Linked DNA regions of Arabidopsis thaliana. The protein of the gene in region 3 interacts with the protein of the main gene of each other region in a pairwise test. Each region holds a gene or a part of one and is shown on either strand. Other genes may lie near its edges. The genes, in order: HB-7, AT4G31420, CSDP1 and AT2G02060.

Evidence for each region.
Region 1: the proteins of CSDP1 (region 3) and HB-7 interact in a two-hybrid assay, tested with the Arabidopsis thaliana proteins (one large-scale study listed by BioGRID).
Region 2: the proteins of CSDP1 (region 3) and AT4G31420 interact in a two-hybrid assay, tested with the Arabidopsis thaliana proteins (one large-scale study listed by BioGRID).
Region 4: the proteins of CSDP1 (region 3) and AT2G02060 interact in a two-hybrid assay, tested with the Arabidopsis thaliana proteins (one large-scale study listed by BioGRID).

What each region holds. Positions count from the first base shown.
Region 1 is NC_003071.7:19,164,769-19,168,766, forward strand, and holds HB-7 (homeobox 7), read right to left. Parts: upstream 2,200-3,998; 5' UTR 2,006-2,199; coding exon 1,646-2,005; intron 1,426-1,645; coding exon 1,009-1,425; 3' UTR 506-1,008; downstream 1-505. Other genes in the region: AT2G46670 (CCT motif family protein), read right to left, coding at 13-465. UniProt on the Arabidopsis thaliana protein: Probable transcription activator that may act as growth regulators in response to water deficit.
Region 2 is NC_003075.7:15,245,306-15,249,854, reverse strand, and holds AT4G31420 (Zinc finger protein 622), read left to right. Parts: upstream 1-1,796; 5' UTR 1,797-2,091; coding exon 2,092-2,196; intron 2,197-2,466; coding exon 2,467-3,033; intron 3,034-3,124; coding exon 3,125-3,294; intron 3,295-3,396; coding exon 3,397-3,615; intron 3,616-3,711; coding exon 3,712-3,868; 3' UTR 3,869-4,039; downstream 4,040-4,549. Other genes in the region: AT4G31430 (flocculation protein), read right to left, coding at 9-100, 180-286, 450-538, 688-740, 1,075-1,345; AT4G31410 (E3 ubiquitin-protein ligase, putative (DUF1644)), read right to left, coding at 4,381-4,417. UniProt on the Arabidopsis thaliana protein: Pre-60S-associated factor involved in the cytoplasmic maturation of the 60S subunit. Involved in the dissociation and recycling of other late pre-60S factors before newly synthesized large ribosomal subunits enter translation.
Region 3 is NC_003075.7:17,042,278-17,046,550, reverse strand, and holds CSDP1 (cold shock domain protein 1), read left to right. Parts: upstream 1-1,989; 5' UTR 1,990-2,208; coding exon 2,209-3,108; 3' UTR 3,109-3,560; exon of another isoform or gene 3,561-3,663; 3' UTR 3,664-3,752; downstream 3,753-4,273. Other genes in the region: ARO3 (armadillo repeat only 3), read left to right, coding at 1-1,467. UniProt on the Arabidopsis thaliana protein: Chaperone that binds to RNA, single- (ssDNA) and double-stranded (dsDNA) DNA, and unwinds nucleic acid duplex. Exhibits a DNA melting activity. May be involved in cold resistance. Prevents seed germination under dehydration or salt stress conditions.
Region 4 is NC_003071.7:492,899-498,297, forward strand, and holds AT2G02060 (Homeodomain-like superfamily protein), read left to right. Parts: upstream 1-1,846; 5' UTR 1,847-1,862; intron 1,863-2,482; exon of another isoform or gene 2,483-2,777; 5' UTR 2,778-2,792; coding exon 2,793-2,952; intron 2,953-3,146; exon of another isoform or gene 3,147-3,184; intron 3,185-3,370; coding exon 3,371-3,447; intron 3,448-3,553; coding exon 3,554-3,593; intron 3,594-3,866; coding exon 3,867-4,008; intron 4,009-4,133; coding exon 4,134-4,263; intron 4,264-4,489; coding exon 4,490-4,711; 3' UTR 4,712-4,880; downstream 4,881-5,399. Other genes in the region: AT2G02061 (Nucleotide-diphospho-sugar transferase family protein), read left to right, coding at 5,127-5,399.

The DNA.
Region 1 (3,998 bases), on a different chromosome or scaffold from region 3:
TGTGTCTCTTACCTTTTTGTCAAAGCATCGATCTTTCCTCTTCAACCGGAACTTCATCAATGCAGCTTCTCTCTGGCTTCTACTCCAACGTTGTTTCGCACTTTCTTCTTCCTTTGGTTTCTCTGTGCTACTGCTTTGTCCAGCAATCCCCTCATTGGTGCTTTGAGAACCAGCTTCTACTTCCTTGCTAGCTGCTTTCTCGCGATTTGATTCTACCGGTATGGGTGAATCTTGCTTCTGATTCGTTACTGTGGACTGAAGAACTTGGTTACGGAAGCTTACGCTTGATGATCCGATATTCTCCTGGTTGCTGCTCGTTGTGGAGCTTCCTTGATCAGATCTTACTTTTCTCAACTTTTCATGTGATTCGGTTGGTGTCTTTGGCTCACCTGAAGTACTCTCCTCTAAAGCAACGACGGCTTTTTCTGCTGACTTGCTTTCCTCAAATCTGCAAGTTAAATACATAAGAATTTGCGAATTGACTGACTCTGTTTTGATACTCTGCTTTTGTTGAGAAAAAAACAAAGTTTCTCCTTAAATCTTCCGAGTCAAGAAGATGTTAACTTGGGTTTCATGGTTCTTTTCGTGTTCCTAATATCAGTTTCTTCTCACCAACTTAGTTCTCTTCTTGATCTTTTACATATTAATGCATAACACTTTATATATATGATTTCTCCTGCTTTTGATTTTTATTCATCCAAATTTAGTCTTAAACTTACTACTTAGCTACAAAGCATGACGAGTACTTACTACTTAAAAACAGAATTACAAACACGAACTGAGAATATACGTCTTTCTAAACACATCATTTATACAGACAAAACCATACAATTTCAGCTCAAAATCCTGCAAAATTCTCGCTGAGAAACGAGTCATTTGCTGGACCGAATATCTCTATATCCGTGGCTCGGTTCATGCGATGTAGACCGGTAAATTTCGATTTGAATATGTATATATCCAATCTTTAGTCTCAATCTGTTTCATCTTCTTGTTTAGAGTTTATTGTTTTCATGACCAAAAATCCCGCCAAGGGTAATTGTTGCTGGATTGGTCCAAGAGAGTAGTAGTATCTGATTTGAAACCTCTCCAATCATCAGATGATGTCAAACAACTATCAGCTGGTTCAACAATGTTCATTAAGTGATCTGGTTCTTCCTCAAACCCACCAAAATACTCTCTCTTGATGTTGTTACTATAACCATTATCATCATCTTCATAATCATGATGATCACACATAACCCCATGATGACCCTTATCATCTTTCATCTCCATCTCCGGTCTAACCTCTTCCGGTTTACGCCTCCGGTTCTCTTCGTTTTCTGATTCATGATGTGTGCTGCTTAGAGCAACCACCGCTTGATCTCCACTACACTGCCTTTCCTCCTCCTGTGTCTTCTTTTGCGTCGCCTCTTTTAGCCTCTGCAACTACATAAAGGTATAAAACAACTCATCAACAATCTATTCTCTCCTTCAATAAACCATCAAAACAGAGTTTTTCTTGATCACCTAATCAGTCCTTAATTGCAATATAACCACTAAAGCACATATTTTATCACATATTTAAAACCACAGTTTTTCAGTATACAACCACAAAATACACAGATTTTAACTAACCATGTAAGAATAAACAGAGTTTAGAACATACCTCAGAGACTAAAGCTTGTTTTTCTTTCTTTAAGGACTCGAACTGAGAAGCCAAGTTGTCGTAGTTTTGTCTGAGAATGTTGTACTCAGTCTCGAGCTGCTTGGATTTCCAACGAGCCCTCTTGTTCTGAAACCATATAGCCACTTGCCTCGGCTGCAACCCTAGCTCTCTAGCTAATTGAACCTTCTTCCTTGGCTCAAGCCTTGTCTCAGACTCAAACATCATCTCCAGTGACTTGATCTGCTCGTCGCTAAACCTTCTCTGATTGTTCTTGTTGTGGTTGCTCTTCTTCATCTTCTTCATGGTCAAGAATGGCTCTGCTGACATCATCGCCGGAGAATATTCTCCACCTTCTGTCATCTCATCGGAATTTTTCCTCAGAGGATTTATGTTTTCTTTATTTTTATTTTTTGGAATCTCTATGTTTGTGTGATGTTGGCTATCTATATATGTGTGTTGATGAGGCTGAGATTATTATGTTAACAGTTATATAAAAATGTGATTTGTTGTTCTTTTTTGGGAGGGCTCCTTAGCATATAATAAGATATAACTTTGGGTTTGCTTTATCGTAAATTTTTTATTCATTTTTGAGTAAACGATTTGTGGGTCGACAGGTAGCAATAGGGCGGATTTTGGCTGTTTCTAGAGTCGTCGCTATCACTTGTTAAGTCGAGTTTCATTTCAACTCGAAACTAATCATCTAACTACTGATTAATAATTTCCACCTTTTTTATTTCTTTTACTTGTGACAAAATTAGTTTCGACTTAACAAGTGTTAGAAAATTAAATGATACAAAAAAATCTGCATACTACACAATTTACCGCATAGTAAACATTCTGGTCGATGTGAAAATGGAAATGGAACAACGGTTGCGTACCAATGTATTTAGTGATGTGGGTGCATATTAACAAATCCTGTTAAGTGGATCTTAAATAAAAATGAAGGGAATTATAATGGTTCATATAATGATTAGCATTTCTGAACTGATTACTAAACAATTATAATGGTTCATATAGGGAATTTCAGAAAATGAATAATCCTCATCTCCTATGCATATATCATCATGTGATTAATTATATTCTTTTCAGTACATCTCTGGTGAATTTTTAAATTTTTATGATTGTGTGCGACAGATTTAACGTTCAGAAGTCAGGATGTGTGACGGGTGTTTTTGTATACGTATGACACAAATCATAATTTTCTTAGAATGTGACTTTAATATTATTATACTTGCATTGTAAAACATATATTGATTACATCACAAATCTCAAAAACAAAACATTGTGACTTAAGTATGATGGGATACAATTTTTTCCAGCTATTTGCTTACGCAATTTTTTCTAATCGGAGATTTGATTTAGAATCAAAGCCTAAACTAATTTTTATAGATAAGTGTAATACAAGTTTACCTTCACCACACGTAAAACTTCCGTGCATGCGATTTGATAACTTTTTGCCAACTCTGTTGTGATCATTTGTTGACCCCTTCCTTACAAAAAGATATTTACTTCAGATTGAAAAATTGACAATACTATTATACTCGTAAACTATTTGTTTCTAATATCATATTTGAACTTATATGATAAATCACAGATATAATGATTCTTGAGAAAATTTTCTAAATTTTTCTTTTTTTCTGTTTTTATGTTAACAACACCATATTTATATATATTTTTAGAAAAAAAAACTAAATAGAAATGGCATATAATAGTTTTTTTCTAGAGTCTATATAACGTTATTTTTAAGAAAGTCTTCATACAACTGATTTCGCAAAATTTCTCTAGTTTAGTTTTACAAATTATGGTACTTCAAACCTCTATAAATGTTATGGTATTTTAAGAATGAATGCCTCGTGATTATTTAACAAACATTACTCCAAAGACAAAAGGCTAATTTTTCGTAACATTTCATCATTTGAATGGAAGCAAGTTAAATTTTTGCCAACAGGGAAACCATATTTGAGGCAGATTCCCTAGACTTTATTTTCTTCACGATAGCGATAACAATTTAACAATATTAGTATTAATGTGAAAAGCAACTTTAATTCTTGCTTTCCTGATTAGTTTAAGGTTTACGTTCACCTTGCTTGTCGGAAATTTCTTTTGACTAATTAATACAAGCAAAAATATTAAATTGGGCCATCTAGATAAGATATTTTCAAACCCTAATATTCTTTTTTTAATAATTAAATCTGATATTTGTAAAAAAAAACATAATTCGAAATTATATCTATCAAGTATCAACTAAAATTAAACCAAAAAGAAGTACCAACTAAAATTTAACGTAAGAGATCAATTTCTAAAGTCTTATTGAACTTATCAGAAAGTGGCAATCAAAAAGTATCAAAATCAG
Region 2 (4,549 bases), 1.8 Mb from region 3:
GAACTTACTTTATACTTTGAACTTGATCCTGATTTCTTCTCCTCCAACCATTTTCTTGCTTCCATGACAGCTGTATTGGACATTTCACCCACATTCACGTCTAGAAATAAAATAGAAAAGAAGACGTTATCACATAGACTAATCCGGTCTACTTGCACAGTCTACCATCAGTAACATACCGCTTGTCAATCCATAGTCATCATGACTCGTCTCAATAGCAGAGGGGACGCTGGGATGATCTACAACCCTAGCCTTGATGATATCTATTAACCTATCACCCTCTTCCCTGAAACAACATACACATGAATGAATAAGCAGGATACAAGATCAGCTTAGATTTGGTAACTACACACGTCTCAGAAAGATTCTTTAAGCTATGAGGTGTAAATAATAAGAATAGTCGAGGAGGCTGCTACTTATGATGTCCAAAAAGCCAGGCAGAGAAATACCTTGCAAATGTTTCTTGCAAGAGAAGCTGCTCAATTACACGCTTAGAACTGAGTCGTTGAATGCTTGGTTGCTGGGCACTCAGAAGGTCCTATTCACACAAGCACAAAAACTGAAATTATGCTTTTATAAAAAAAACTCTCAGTTGAAAACGTGTTAGCTTCACGAACTTTACTTCAAACAATTATCATAGGACTACAGTGGCATAGCAATCACCAAAACGAACAAGGTGGTTAGTACCTCTTCAGTAAAATCGGGATTGTTCTTCTCAACATCCTCATCACCATCAATATCTGCAAACAAAGAAGAAAACATATAAAAATCCATACATTAAAAGAATAAGACACAACAAAGCTGGTTGGTATTCTCAATCCCAGAACTACATTATATGAATAAAAATTAGAGCTTTAGAATTAGTATGAAGTTTATAGCTTAGAAGTAACCTAACTAAATAGAGTACAACAATGCTTAACTGCTCTTAAGTCCCACATATTAAAGGAAAGAGAAAATGGGAAAGCTTTAAGTCAAACTTCACATTTCAAACGAAACGGTAGCTTTCAGATTCGACCAGACAATAAACCAAAAATTCAAATTAATCCTATCTAAACTGAAATAAATGGTACAAACCTGAAGATGAATCCTCGTCCTCCTCCGAAGATGAGGAAGAGTCGGAGAAGACGACGGAAGAAATGAATTTTCCGGCGCCGGAAGCAATTACGCTGGCGGGTTTGTAAACGAGCCTGGAGATCCAACTAGGGTTTTGCTGAGGAGGATCTCGGGATCTCTGAACGGGGCGCTCACACGGCGTCCTGACAACAGCGGTGCGTCGTGGTCGAACAATTTTCCCACCGACTCGAGGCTGACCTGCTCCGGCGGCGTAACCGGAGACGGAATCCATGGTGAAAGTGAGAGGAGGAGGGAGAAGTTCGTTGTAGGAAATAATGAAAGTGTTGAGGAAAAATTGGTAATTTCTCGTTATTTGTCGTCTTCTTGTTTTTTTTTTTAATTGGGGGTGAATAGTTAGTTTCCTAAATTACAGGCCTGCGGTTAAAATTTCTTCCACTAATAAAATTAGGCAAAAACAAAACATTGCGATTAAAAAAAATTAATCGTAGTAAAATCATGTATTATATTCTTCTCTTTTCATATTTTGAACATATCACATGATGTTTAGATCTTATAAATGCAGTAATTTAATAGAGAGATTAGAATTTGGAAGAAAAAAAAGTTACATGATTAAACGAAGTAATTAATCAAGTTGTAAGTAGTTATTTTAAAAACAATATTAGAAAAATGTTTTTTGGTTACTCATACAGTAATACTTAATTCGTCAACTGTGTCAGTGTTACAAAAAGGCTAAAAGAATGGGCCAAATGGGCTACTCTTGTATCGGGTCAGGAACGGGTCAGTTCCAACCCGATCGGATCTAAAATGGGCGGGGCGCCTTCCTTTTCATTTTGATGGCAATCAATCATCATCAATCGACGCTTTTTTAGAGACAAACACGATCGCCGATCCATTTACGAGCCGTCGTTGCTCTACACATATCAACAACAAATCTTATCCTCCCAACTATCTTTTCTCTGATTTTCTTTTCTTCTCCAGTTTCCATTTCTAGAATCGATCGATATTGAAGGAGAGAAGATGCCTGGTTTAACATGTAACGCGTGTAACATGGAGTTCAAGGACGAAGAAGAACGTAACCTTCATTACAAATCCGATTGGCACCGCTACAATCTCAAGCGCAAGGTTTCATTTCTTCTGCTTTCTCTATCGAATTTGAACTCAAGCCTATCTGTTTCTCGGGAAAATCTTGCGTCGGTGATGAGATGAAAGTTTCTGAGAAACAGCTTTTCCATTTTGCTATCGAAATTGTTTAGTTAAGGTTATGGAATCGTAGAGTTTATATGAAAATTTGTTTTGAAGCTTATTCTACTAAGGAACAAGGATTTCAATAATCATAGATTTGGTTACTTCTAGGCATTTGAATCTTTGTATTTCTGTAATTTTTTATGTTAGGTGGCTGGAGTTCCTGGAGTTACAGAAGCCTTGTTTGAGGCTAGACAATCTGCTCTTGCTCAGGAGAAGAATAAATCAAATGAAGCACCTATGCTTTATACTTGTGCAATCTGTGCTAAAGGTTACAGGAGTTCCAAGGCTCATGAGCAGCATCTTCAGTCGCGTAGCCATGTTTTGCGGGTTTCACAAGGGACATCAATCAACGGAGAGGAGGATATAGCGATTATCAGGCAACTTCCTCGCCGTGTTCAACACAGGGGTTCCATTGATGATGATAGTGAAGATGAATGGGTGGAGGTTGATTCTGACGAGGAATTGGCTGCTGAAGAAGCCTCTGATTCTTTGTCTAAGTTGAATGTGAATGAGTCTGGATCTGCTGAAGATATGGATGATGATGGTGATGCAGATAAGTATGAGCTGGATCCAACCTGCTGTTTGATGTGTGACAAAAAACATAAGACCTTAGAGAGCTGTATGCTTCACATGCATAAGCATCATGGTTTCTTTATTCCCGATATTGAGTATCTCAAGGATCCTGAAGGGCTTCTCACTTACCTTGGTCTTAAGGTTTGGACTCATCAATTTACCATTCAGTGTTCGTTGTTGTCAAGCTTTGAAATTCTTACTCCTGTTTACTTATACATTGCTCATCATTTAGGTCAAGAGAGACTTCATGTGTCTGTACTGCAATGAGCTGTGCCGTCCATTCAGCAGCTTAGAAGCTGTAAGAAAACATATGGAAGCAAAGAGTCATTGCAAACTGCATTATGGTGATGGTGATGATGAAGAAGATGCTGAGCTAGAAGAGTTTTATGACTACAGCAGCAGGTTTCAACTCTCTTCTATCTCTGATTATTCTTGTTCTCGCCTGTATTCCTCGTTCTATGCCAAATCTTAATCCGCACCTTTCTTTGGAATATATGAATTGAGCAGCTATGTTGATGAAGCTGGAAAGCAAATTGTTGTATCTGGTGAAACAGACAATACTGTAGAACTCGTTGGTGGTTCTGAGCTCTTGATCACGGAGAAGTCCGAGAACACAACAACGTCTAAAACTCTCGGGTCCCGTGAATTCATGCGTTACTACAGACAGAAGCCACGCCCAACTTCTCAAGACAGCAACCAGATAATTGCCTCTTTATCTTCAAGGTTTGTTTTCTCCAAACCCGTTAATCATCCGAGTCTATCCAATCAGATAATCGGCAAGGTAAACTAAGGTTATTCCAACAAATGGTAAATTCTCAGGTACAAGAGCCTGGGTCTGAAGACAGTACCGTCGAAAGAGGAGACTTTGAGGATGAAAGTGCGCAAGGAGATGAGCAAGAGAGGCGAGACAATGCGTACCAAGATCGGAGTGAAGAGTAATGTCATAAGAAACTTGCCCAATAACGTCCCATATTAGTTTCTGTGTATGTGCCACTTGTTCTCAAGTGTTGGATTGTATGATGATTTCATGTACTTTTGAGTCTTTGACCAAGTTGTGTTGCTACTTGGTAATAAGAGTAAGCTTTAAAAAGAGTATGTTCACTGAAATAGAAATGTTAAAAATTAATACACGAACGTTGACTTCTGATTTACTCTCAATATCTACATTGTCCAGAGATGCATGTAAAACAAAGAAGAGACAACGACAAAAGGGTACTACAATATCCCAAAAAGGCTTTTTGTTTAGTTTTTGTACAAAGGCTGCGACTGCTGCGAGTAATGTCACAAGACAAACCTAAAATAAAATTTATGTGTAGAAACAAAAAGAAAAAGAAGAAAGAGGTCCAAAACCAAGAACACTGGCTACAAATAGGCTGGTCTGCATCATTTGCTTCGCTTCATTTTCCAGCTGACTGAGAAAGAACGAAAAGGAACATTACAGATTCACAAGAAGACAGTACCAAAAGCATAGAAACAGAAGGTTAATACCTAATTTTCATAGAAGCGGGTTCGACGCCTTCTTGAACTGTAAATCAGAGAAAACAAGGCATCAAGCAATGTCTCTTAAGTAACCATCATATATAGCACAAGAAAGCTACTAAACCAGGTCAACACCCCAAGCTATTATGCCAGAAATATCACACAATGGGGCCTGATT
Region 3 (4,273 bases):
TACGTGAAACTGATAGTTGAAGAAGGCGGAGTCAACCCTTTGTTGAAACTTGTAAAAGAAGGTAAAATCGACGGTCAAGAAAACGCAGCGAGAACAATCGGGTTACTGGGTCGTGACCCGGAAAGTGTTGAGCATATGATTCAGCTTGGTGTTTGTTCAGTGCTTTCAAGTATTCTTAAAGAAGGTTCGATGAAGGTTCAAGCCGTTGTGGCTTGGGCTGTTTCAGAGCTTGTTTCTGGTAATCACGCCAAATGTCAAGAACTGTTTGCGCAAAACAACGTGATTAGGCTTCTTGTGAGTCATTTAGCGTTTGAAACGGTTCAAGAACATAGCAAATACGCGGTTGTTGCGGGTAGAGCAACGTCGATGCATCACGCCGTCGTAATGGCGAGTAAAATCAGTAGTAGTAAAGAGAATTTACCGGCGTTGAACGAGGAGGAGGACGACGATAATCATATCGGAGTCTCGAGTCCGATGACGAATCAGATGCATAGCATCGTTGCAACAACAATGGCGATGAAAGCGGTTGGATCAGGATCGAAATCGAATCTTTCTAGCCGATTTGTTACCGGCGACGACGATAAACCCCCGGAAAAGATACCGGAGAAGAGTTATAGTATGAGTTCACAGATCAAGGCTTACGGTAGTATCGCACATCAATCGCGAAACGCGTCGGTGACGAGAGGGAGAGAGCTTGAAGATCCGGTGACGAAGACTTATATGAAAGCGATGGCGGCGAGAGCGTTATGGAAACTCGCTGTAGGAAACTCATCGATCTGCCGAGTCATCACCGAGTCACGAGCTTTACTCTGTTTTGCGGTTTTACTAGACAAAGGAGACGAAGAGACTAAGTATAACACAGCTATGGCTATCATGGAGATAACCGCCGTGGCTGAGGAAAACGCAGATCTGAGAAGATCCGCGTTCAGACGCACTTCACCGGCGTGCAAAGCGGTGGTTGACCAGTTATTCCGAATCGTTGAAAACGCCGACGCCGGATCCGATTTACTCATCCCCTGTGTAAGATCCATCGGAAACCTAGCGAGAACGTTCAAATCAGCGGAAACGCATATGATCGTGCCTCTGGTAAAACTCCTCGACGACGGAGAACCAGATTTAGCGGCGGAGGTAGCGATCGCGTTAGCGAAATTCGCGACGGAGGATAACTTTTTAGGGAAAGAACACTCGAGGACAATCATCGAAGCTGGAGGATCAAAGCTTCTGGTTCAGTTAGCGTATTTCGGAGAGAACGGAGCACAGATTCCGGCGATGGTTTTGCTGAGCTACGTGGCGATGAATGTTCCAGACAGTGAACAGTTAGCGAAAGACGAAGTGTTAACGGTATTGGAATGGTCATCGAAGCAAGCTAATGTACTTGAAGATGAAGATATGGAAGCTTTGTTGTATGAAGCTAAGAGCAGACTCGAGCTTTACCAATCAAGAGGATCTAGAGGCTTTCACTTGTAATTTTCCCATTGAATGAATTATTAGAAAATACTAGGATTTGATTTCCACGTGTGTTCCAATGATTTTTTATGTAGGTGACTCTGTTTTTTAACCACTATCAAAAAGTTGTATAAAGTTTTATTTTTCAATACCTAATTTTGTGTATTGACAATGAGAGATCACTGATCACCAACATTTTGTAGTTTTGAAAAGCATAAGCAAAAGCTGCAATACCATAGCCTGAAGCTAAAAGTACAATTTATTTGATGGATATTGATTTAGTAGTAACCAGCCGAATCGGGAAATAAAATATAAAAAAGGCCATACCAAGTCCAGCTTAAGCCCATCAGAGTAAAAATCTTGGACCACAAACAATTGGCCCAATGTAAAAATTGGACTAAGATCCCAATCTTATCGCGATTCACTGTAAGAAAATCATAACGTACGACCACGATTAAAATTCAAGCGTGGACGCGTGCACAGCTGATAAACGGACGTGGATAAAAAAAAAGTGAAATAGCAAGTTTCCTAAATTTCTCCAGTCCCAAAGAATATTCCACCAAAATTTTTAATTAGGCGGCATAGTCAAATTAGGGTTTAATTACATTCCCCACTAAAATTAGGGTTTTCTCATTAATTTCCTCTTAATTACAGATTTAATCCCACTCTACCTCTATATATATATACACACACACGCCTAAGGATTTCCCAACTTAAAAAACCCTAATTTCTCAATCTCTTCTTCAACTTTTTTTTTTAACGATGGCTTCAGAGGATCAATCGGCGGCGAGATCTACCGGGAAGGTGAACTGGTTCAACGCTTCTAAAGGCTATGGTTTCATTACTCCTGACGATGGCAGCGTAGAGCTTTTCGTTCATCAATCTTCAATTGTCTCCGAAGGTTACCGGAGTTTAACCGTCGGCGATGCGGTTGAGTTCGCTATTACTCAGGGAAGCGACGGTAAGACTAAAGCCGTCAATGTTACTGCTCCTGGTGGTGGTTCTCTCAAGAAGGAGAATAACTCTCGTGGTAACGGTGCTAGGCGCGGCGGCGGTGGAAGCGGTTGCTACAATTGCGGTGAGTTAGGTCATATCTCTAAAGATTGTGGTATTGGTGGCGGCGGCGGAGGTGGTGAACGTAGATCTAGAGGAGGAGAAGGTTGTTACAATTGTGGTGATACTGGTCACTTCGCTAGGGATTGTACTTCAGCTGGAAACGGTGACCAACGTGGAGCCACCAAAGGTGGAAACGATGGTTGCTACACTTGCGGTGATGTTGGTCACGTGGCTAGGGATTGTACTCAGAAATCAGTTGGAAACGGAGACCAACGTGGAGCGGTCAAAGGTGGAAACGATGGTTGCTACACTTGTGGTGATGTTGGTCACTTTGCTAGGGATTGTACTCAGAAGGTTGCTGCCGGAAACGTCAGAAGCGGTGGTGGTGGTAGTGGAACTTGTTATTCATGCGGTGGAGTTGGTCACATTGCAAGAGATTGTGCGACTAAGAGACAGCCTTCTCGTGGGTGTTACCAGTGTGGTGGTTCTGGTCACTTGGCTCGTGATTGTGACCAGAGAGGAAGCGGTGGAGGAGGTAATGATAATGCGTGCTACAAGTGTGGTAAGGAAGGTCACTTTGCAAGGGAATGTTCTTCTGTAGCTTAATCGATTTCCTAATCAACAAAACAAAAAAACAAGAATGAAATTGAATCGAGTTATATAGTTTGGTATATATTACTCTTCGTTTTCATTTATCTTTTTTTTTGTTGTTGATGGGAATGAAATTGCCTGGTCCTTTTGGTGTGTTTTTGAGCTTTTATTATTATACAGAGTGATCCCTTTTTGTTATAACTATTACAAGTTTTTAGCTTTATTTGATATGGATGCTCTCTCCTTTTCTTCTATCTGTTTCTGGAAATTTTGACCTCATCATATTACTTATGTCATCCAAAGTTTGAGTTTTGTCCTTTTTATTAAAGTGCTGCTAGTTTCAGTTCATTGCTTTTGTACTTGGATGTTTTGACTATTAGCAGCACAGGTATGACGTCTCAAGTTCAATAGTACTTTTTAACCCTTTGACACAAGATGAATCCAATCCACTGGTTCTTTTGTTGTTGGTAATTGTTATAGACTTTTTAGCTTTATCTGATATGAGTGACATCCCAATTATCAATTGTGACTTAATTAGTAACCTGTGAATTGATGGATATGATTTTGCAGTTTCATCCTTCTTTACCAATAAAGGACTGGATACAAATCTTGTGGACAAAGTTCAAGTGATGACCTCAGTCTTACCTGATTAATCCCTGCTTTGTACAGTCATTTAGGGAATGTCACAGTCGTTTTAAAGGGTTAAAAGTTTGAACCTAATTCACTATTAACTAAATCCAAGACTGATGACGAATCTTCCTGATAGAAGAAACTGGAAACCAAAGTTTGGTGTTCACCTTTTCATGTCCAAACAAAGCCACAAAATCATATGATCATTGGTTAGAAGATTATAGTAATAAACCACATATAAAAACCTGATTAGGTTAAACATCATCCACATCTCCTTGTTTATATCATCACTTGGATCCAATCAACGAAAACCTTGCTAATCACCTCAGATCGCATTAATCACTAATATTTTTCATGGTATTAAGTTCCATTGTCATATAGATGTCTCTTGAAATGGTAGCTTAATGAGCAATTTTAAGGTTATGGATCAATTTCTTTTGATATTTGGTCAGTTTTTTTTTATTCCAAGTGCAATCGAACCTGCAACTTCTACTAGTTTTACATCCAAAAACTCGGATCTTCAACCACACATGGATTTAAAGGTTATACT
Region 4 (5,399 bases), on a different chromosome or scaffold from region 3:
AAACAACTCTCTTTCACTTTTGTTTAATGTTATTTTAGGTGTGAAAAGGCTAATTCTTCTCTGTTCTCTCTAGGTGTTTCATGGATTACACCTTTTATATTACTTTAACCATCTTAGAATTTGCCTTGTTCTTGCATGTGCTATGATTGAATTCAATCAATGGGTGATGAGAAAATTGACCCAATAGAATAATAAATTAACATTGATAATCGTCGAATGGTTCGGTGAGATTTGCACATCCAAATTTTCCACACACAAAAAAGAATGTTATGTTTTTTATAGTCCAAAATCCAGTTGGGTTACATTATCTTACATGTATGTACAAAGTTTTATAATATTAATAAAAAAACAAGCAAAGAGAATTATTGAATGTTTTGATTGTGGTAAAAGCCATGAATCATGGACCTCCACAGTCAATTACTCATTCAATTTCTCTTGGAGCTATTTGTCTCTGCCAGACTCATTTAATGTATTATTTTCATTTGCTTCCACTTTCTCTCATACATGTATTAGTACTAACCATTTTGATTTTTGAGACTTGAACTCTCGGTTAGACATTTTATCCATCCATGCAATTGTGTTTATCGATCAATGATCATCAGTAGGATAATAAAAGGCTTTATTAGTGAATATAGTAAAATTGTTTCACTGATAAAACCTTTTGGAATGTGTTTACTTGATTATTTTGATCAATGATCATAACCTAGGTAGCTTTTTGTATTATTCTTCTAGTCAATATATAGGTAATATAAGCAACTCGTGTGTCTTTGACAAGCTGGTGACTGAATATTATATTTTAATTACCGTCTAATCAAACACTAAACCATTTTTAAAATCGTTAAAGCGAATTTTGGCATATATGCAGAGAATTCCACGTTTTTATAATAATTTAGAGAATGTGCATAAATGAGAAGAAAATGCAAAGCACAATAGGCTACATTTTAAAGGTCAATGACCTCACTTTGTGTGTAGATTTTATTATTTGATTGTTTTTTTCGTTGGGTATAGAAATGTCTGATTTATGTGTGGAATAAAGACGACGACTTTGTTAAATTATAAATTATTAAATTTTGTTCTCTTAATTAATACTCAATCGGCTTTTTCTTATTTTTTTATTATTATGGCTGATACCACGTAAACCACGAGTAAGTATGTAGTACAAATCAATTACTTTCTAATACTACATAAAAATTATATACTAGTACTTAATTTCTTACAAGAAATACATACATCATTTAAAAACAGTATTTGATGTTAATATAAGTAGTTAATAGTAGAATAGCTGATAAAATAACGTGATTTATGTCCACAATTCGTTGATTAAAATATTGAATCCATGGTTGGAAAAAACTGGCGAAATCAGTAATTATTGTCGGCTACCATATAGGGACATGATGGTTTTGGTTCGTCTTCCATGTACACCAAATCAGCAATGAGAAAAAGAAAAATGGGGAAAATAAATAATTCTTGTTATAAATATTATCCTAAGATTTATTATCACTTATTATGGGAGTGAAAAAGAAAACAATAAGAAGGAAAATGAATGGGAAATGGGAGAAAATGTAAAGGAATTAGGGGAATGAAGTCAAAACGGTGGTCCAAAAGACATAACGAAGGACCATTGTAAAATTGTGTGATTTATTTGAAATCAGAAAGTTTAACACGAAACCCTAAAAAAACAAAACAAAAAACAAAAATAGGAATAATAATTATGCTATATGGTCAAAGCTAAGCAGTTGGGCTATTTTCATTTAAATTTATTCGTTTTGGTCTAAAACCTATCGTGAAAAAAGTGAGAAAGTAAAGTTTGAGGTACTGTGGAGGAAACTTCTTCATTTGGGTAAATCCCAAATCCCTATAAGGTAAATATTATGTGTTCTTACAAAATTTGGTTTTTCTATGACAAGTATATTCTTTTGACCAGCTAAGCTAACAAATGTATGTTCAATTGGTTATATATCGATCGGGGCAAGGGTAATACTCGAATCTATGTTCTTTTCATGCAAGTTATGTATGTAGCCTTGTGTAGTTCTCTGGTACGTTGATATGCAATGATTCTCTCGAAAACTATTTAAAAAAATTATTTAAGATAATAATGAATGGGGTCACGAGTCAAGACTAATGTAACCAAAGTCAAATGGATTTTCGTATGATTACTACTTTTGTAACCAAAGTCAAATGGATTTTCGTATGATTACTACAAGCTTGTAGGTCAAAAAACACATGTCACCTCTCTGTTTAGTATAATAAACCAATTTTATAACATCATTCTTTTTATTTGCTAGTTTAATCGTCTAAATAAGTGACCCAACCATAAACCATATCAGATTATGAAATTTTGACTTTACGATAGTTTACGTATCCTCAAATTCCTCACGTATATGTCATGAACAATTCTTAAACAACAAAATTATAACTCTCTTTTAATTAATGTAGTTTTTTCGTAAGAACTCAAATTGATATTTAACAAAAAAAATGAATGAAACATTTCTCAAGTTTTAATAATTATTTTTTGGAATTTTGCAAAACATATATAGAGAGATAATAATAAGTATGAATGAATCCAAAAAGAGACAAAAAGAATAGATGGAAAAAGAGACAGTCATCTTTAAGAAAGAAGCCAAAAACAAAAACTTGCTCTTTTAATCCCAACCCACACACCTCTCAAATCCTCCTCTCCTCGTTTCTCTTTCTCTCCTCTTCACAGAACCAAAACATATCAAACCTTTTTTTCTCTTGGGTTTAAGTAAAAATCGAATCTTTGTGTCGGTTTTTAGGGTTCTTGAAACGATATGGGTAAGTCTAGTGGTAGAAATGGTAACGGAAGCTTTAACGGCAATAAATTTCACGGAGTTAGACCTTACGTACGGTCTCCAGTTCCACGGCTTAGATGGACGCCGGATCTTCACCGTTGTTTCGTTCACGCCGTCGAGATTCTCGGTGGTCAACACCGTAAGTTTATTATACTTTTTTTCTCTTCAAATCTTTTGTGAAAAAAACCAAACTTTTGTGTGTTTGTTTGCTTCAAACATCCTAAAGTTACGATATAACTAGAAAAATTGGACTTTTCTCATTCTTTTGTCTCAATCATCGTAAAAAATCAGTTTTTGAATAAAATCTTCACACTTTTGTTACTTTGTTTCATTCTTATCTTCAAAGTTTGGATTTTTATGCTAAAAAAAAGGTTTGAAGTTTCCTTATTGTGTTGTTTATCTTCATCATCGTAATGAATCATCTTTGTCAAGTTACCGAGTCAAAACCTTCACGCTTTTGTTGTTTTGTTTCATTCATAAAGTTTGAGTTTTTGTTTTTTTTCATAAAGAATCATCATAGTCACCTTTTTGATATTTTGTTGGGTTTGATGAAACAGGAGCAACACCAAAACTTGTTCTTAAGATGATGGATGTGAAGGGACTTACCATTTCACATGTCAAAAGCCACCTTCAGGTAAATAGTAATTAATTTTACCAAAAACATCAATTTTGTTTTCTTCTTTATTCATATTTCATTCATAACACCTTGTTTTGATTGTTTTGAACATATATATAAACAGATGTATAGAGGAGGTTCAAAGCTCACTTTGGAGAAACCAGGTATTATTTTTTTCCTTATAATTATGAAATGAATCAATGATGATATTTGGAAAAAGAATGGGACCGTTGATTTTAATTTGAACTGTTAACATCAAACACATAATAATGGATGGAATTTAATTATTTTACTGTATCTGTTTGTAGTATGTACTATTGGTCTAGTGTCATGATTCATAAGACAAATGTCATAAATACATTTATATATTTTTCAAGAGTAATAGAACAGAAAATAAGAGAATATTCATTAACTAGTTTTTATTGTTTCTTACACAGAAGAAAGCTCATCATCTTCAATAAGAAGAAGACAAGACAGTGAAGAAGATTATTATCTTCATGACAACTTGTCTTTACACACAAGGAATGATTGTCTTTTGGGTTTTCACTCTTTTCCTCTTTCTTCACATTCTTCATTTAGGTATTTATTTTTATTTATAATTGTTTTCTGACAAAGTTTTTTAATTTTATTTCAGTAAAAAAAAAAAAAAAGTGTTTTGCTTTTTTGTTTGTCTGTATTTGAATTGTCCTTTTACTTTGGTGCAGAGGAGGAGGAGGAGGAAGAACAAAAGAGCAGCAGACTTCAGAGTCTGGTGGTTATGATGATGATGCTGACTTTCTTCACATCAAGAAGATGAACGATACGACGACGTTTTTGTCACATCATTTCCCCAAGGTATAAATAAATTTCTCTTTTGTCAACCGGTTTGGAAATTTAATGTTGCAAAACAAAATCAAGTCCGGTTATGAGTTCTAACCGGTCTGATTGAGACTGGTCAAATCCAAAGGGATTGAGTCCGGTTTAAGTACTACTTGTCATTGAATCTAATTAGTTTCATATAAATGGCATTTAACCGGTTTTAGTCCGGTTTGGTAACTAATTTTGTCTTTTGGTTCATTAGGGAACAGAGGAGTGGCGGGAACAAGAACACGAAGAAGAAGAAGAAGATTTGTCGTTGTCTCTGTCGTTAAATCATCATCATTGGAGAAGCAATGGATCATCGGTGGTGAGCGAAACGAGTGAAGCAGCAGTCTCGACTTGTTCAGCACCATTCGTATCCAAAGATTGCTTTGGTTCTTCAAAGATTGATCTTAATCTGTCAATTTCTCTCCTCGGTAGCTAAATAAGTTATGCAAGATTTAGGTTCAGAGAAACTATTCGGATGTGTTTTTGAAACTAGGATATTGAATGTTAGTAGAGAAACCTAGAAAATGAAGTTTAGATAAATTATCAACGCAGCGTTTTGATCGCCTTTGAACGGAAAATTAACAAACAGAGCCAAACGCAGTGTTTTGATCTTTGAAGGATAACCCCTAAACGCAGCGTTTCTATATCAAGATCCTACGGTTTAGAATGTTCATTGTTATTTTGGTCGGCAATCCTACGGTAGAAAAAATAATCTCGCAGATAAAACCCATTAAACGCTGCGTTTCATCGTTGGAGGGTAAACTCATTAAACGCCGCGTTTTACATTCAAAAAACTTGAAACTACCTTATAACCGCCCAGACGATGACCAACGTCGTCAACGTCGGCGAAGATGAATCTATCGAACCGTTTTGGCTCCAATTCCAAGACGGCGATACTCAACGATTCTTACTCCGACGAGAATCATTCTTCCTCCGCCGCCGCCGCCGTAACTTCCGTCGTAATCCCACCGTGCTCCGGCAATGTACTCCGAGCCGTTCTCTTGCTCTTCTTCATCTGCTTCTGCTTCTCCCTCTACAGAACTTCTGGTTATCTCCGAATCGTCTCTGACTCTTCCTCCACCCTCTCTCGCATTTTCCCCTCTGTCAACGATTCTTCTTCGTCT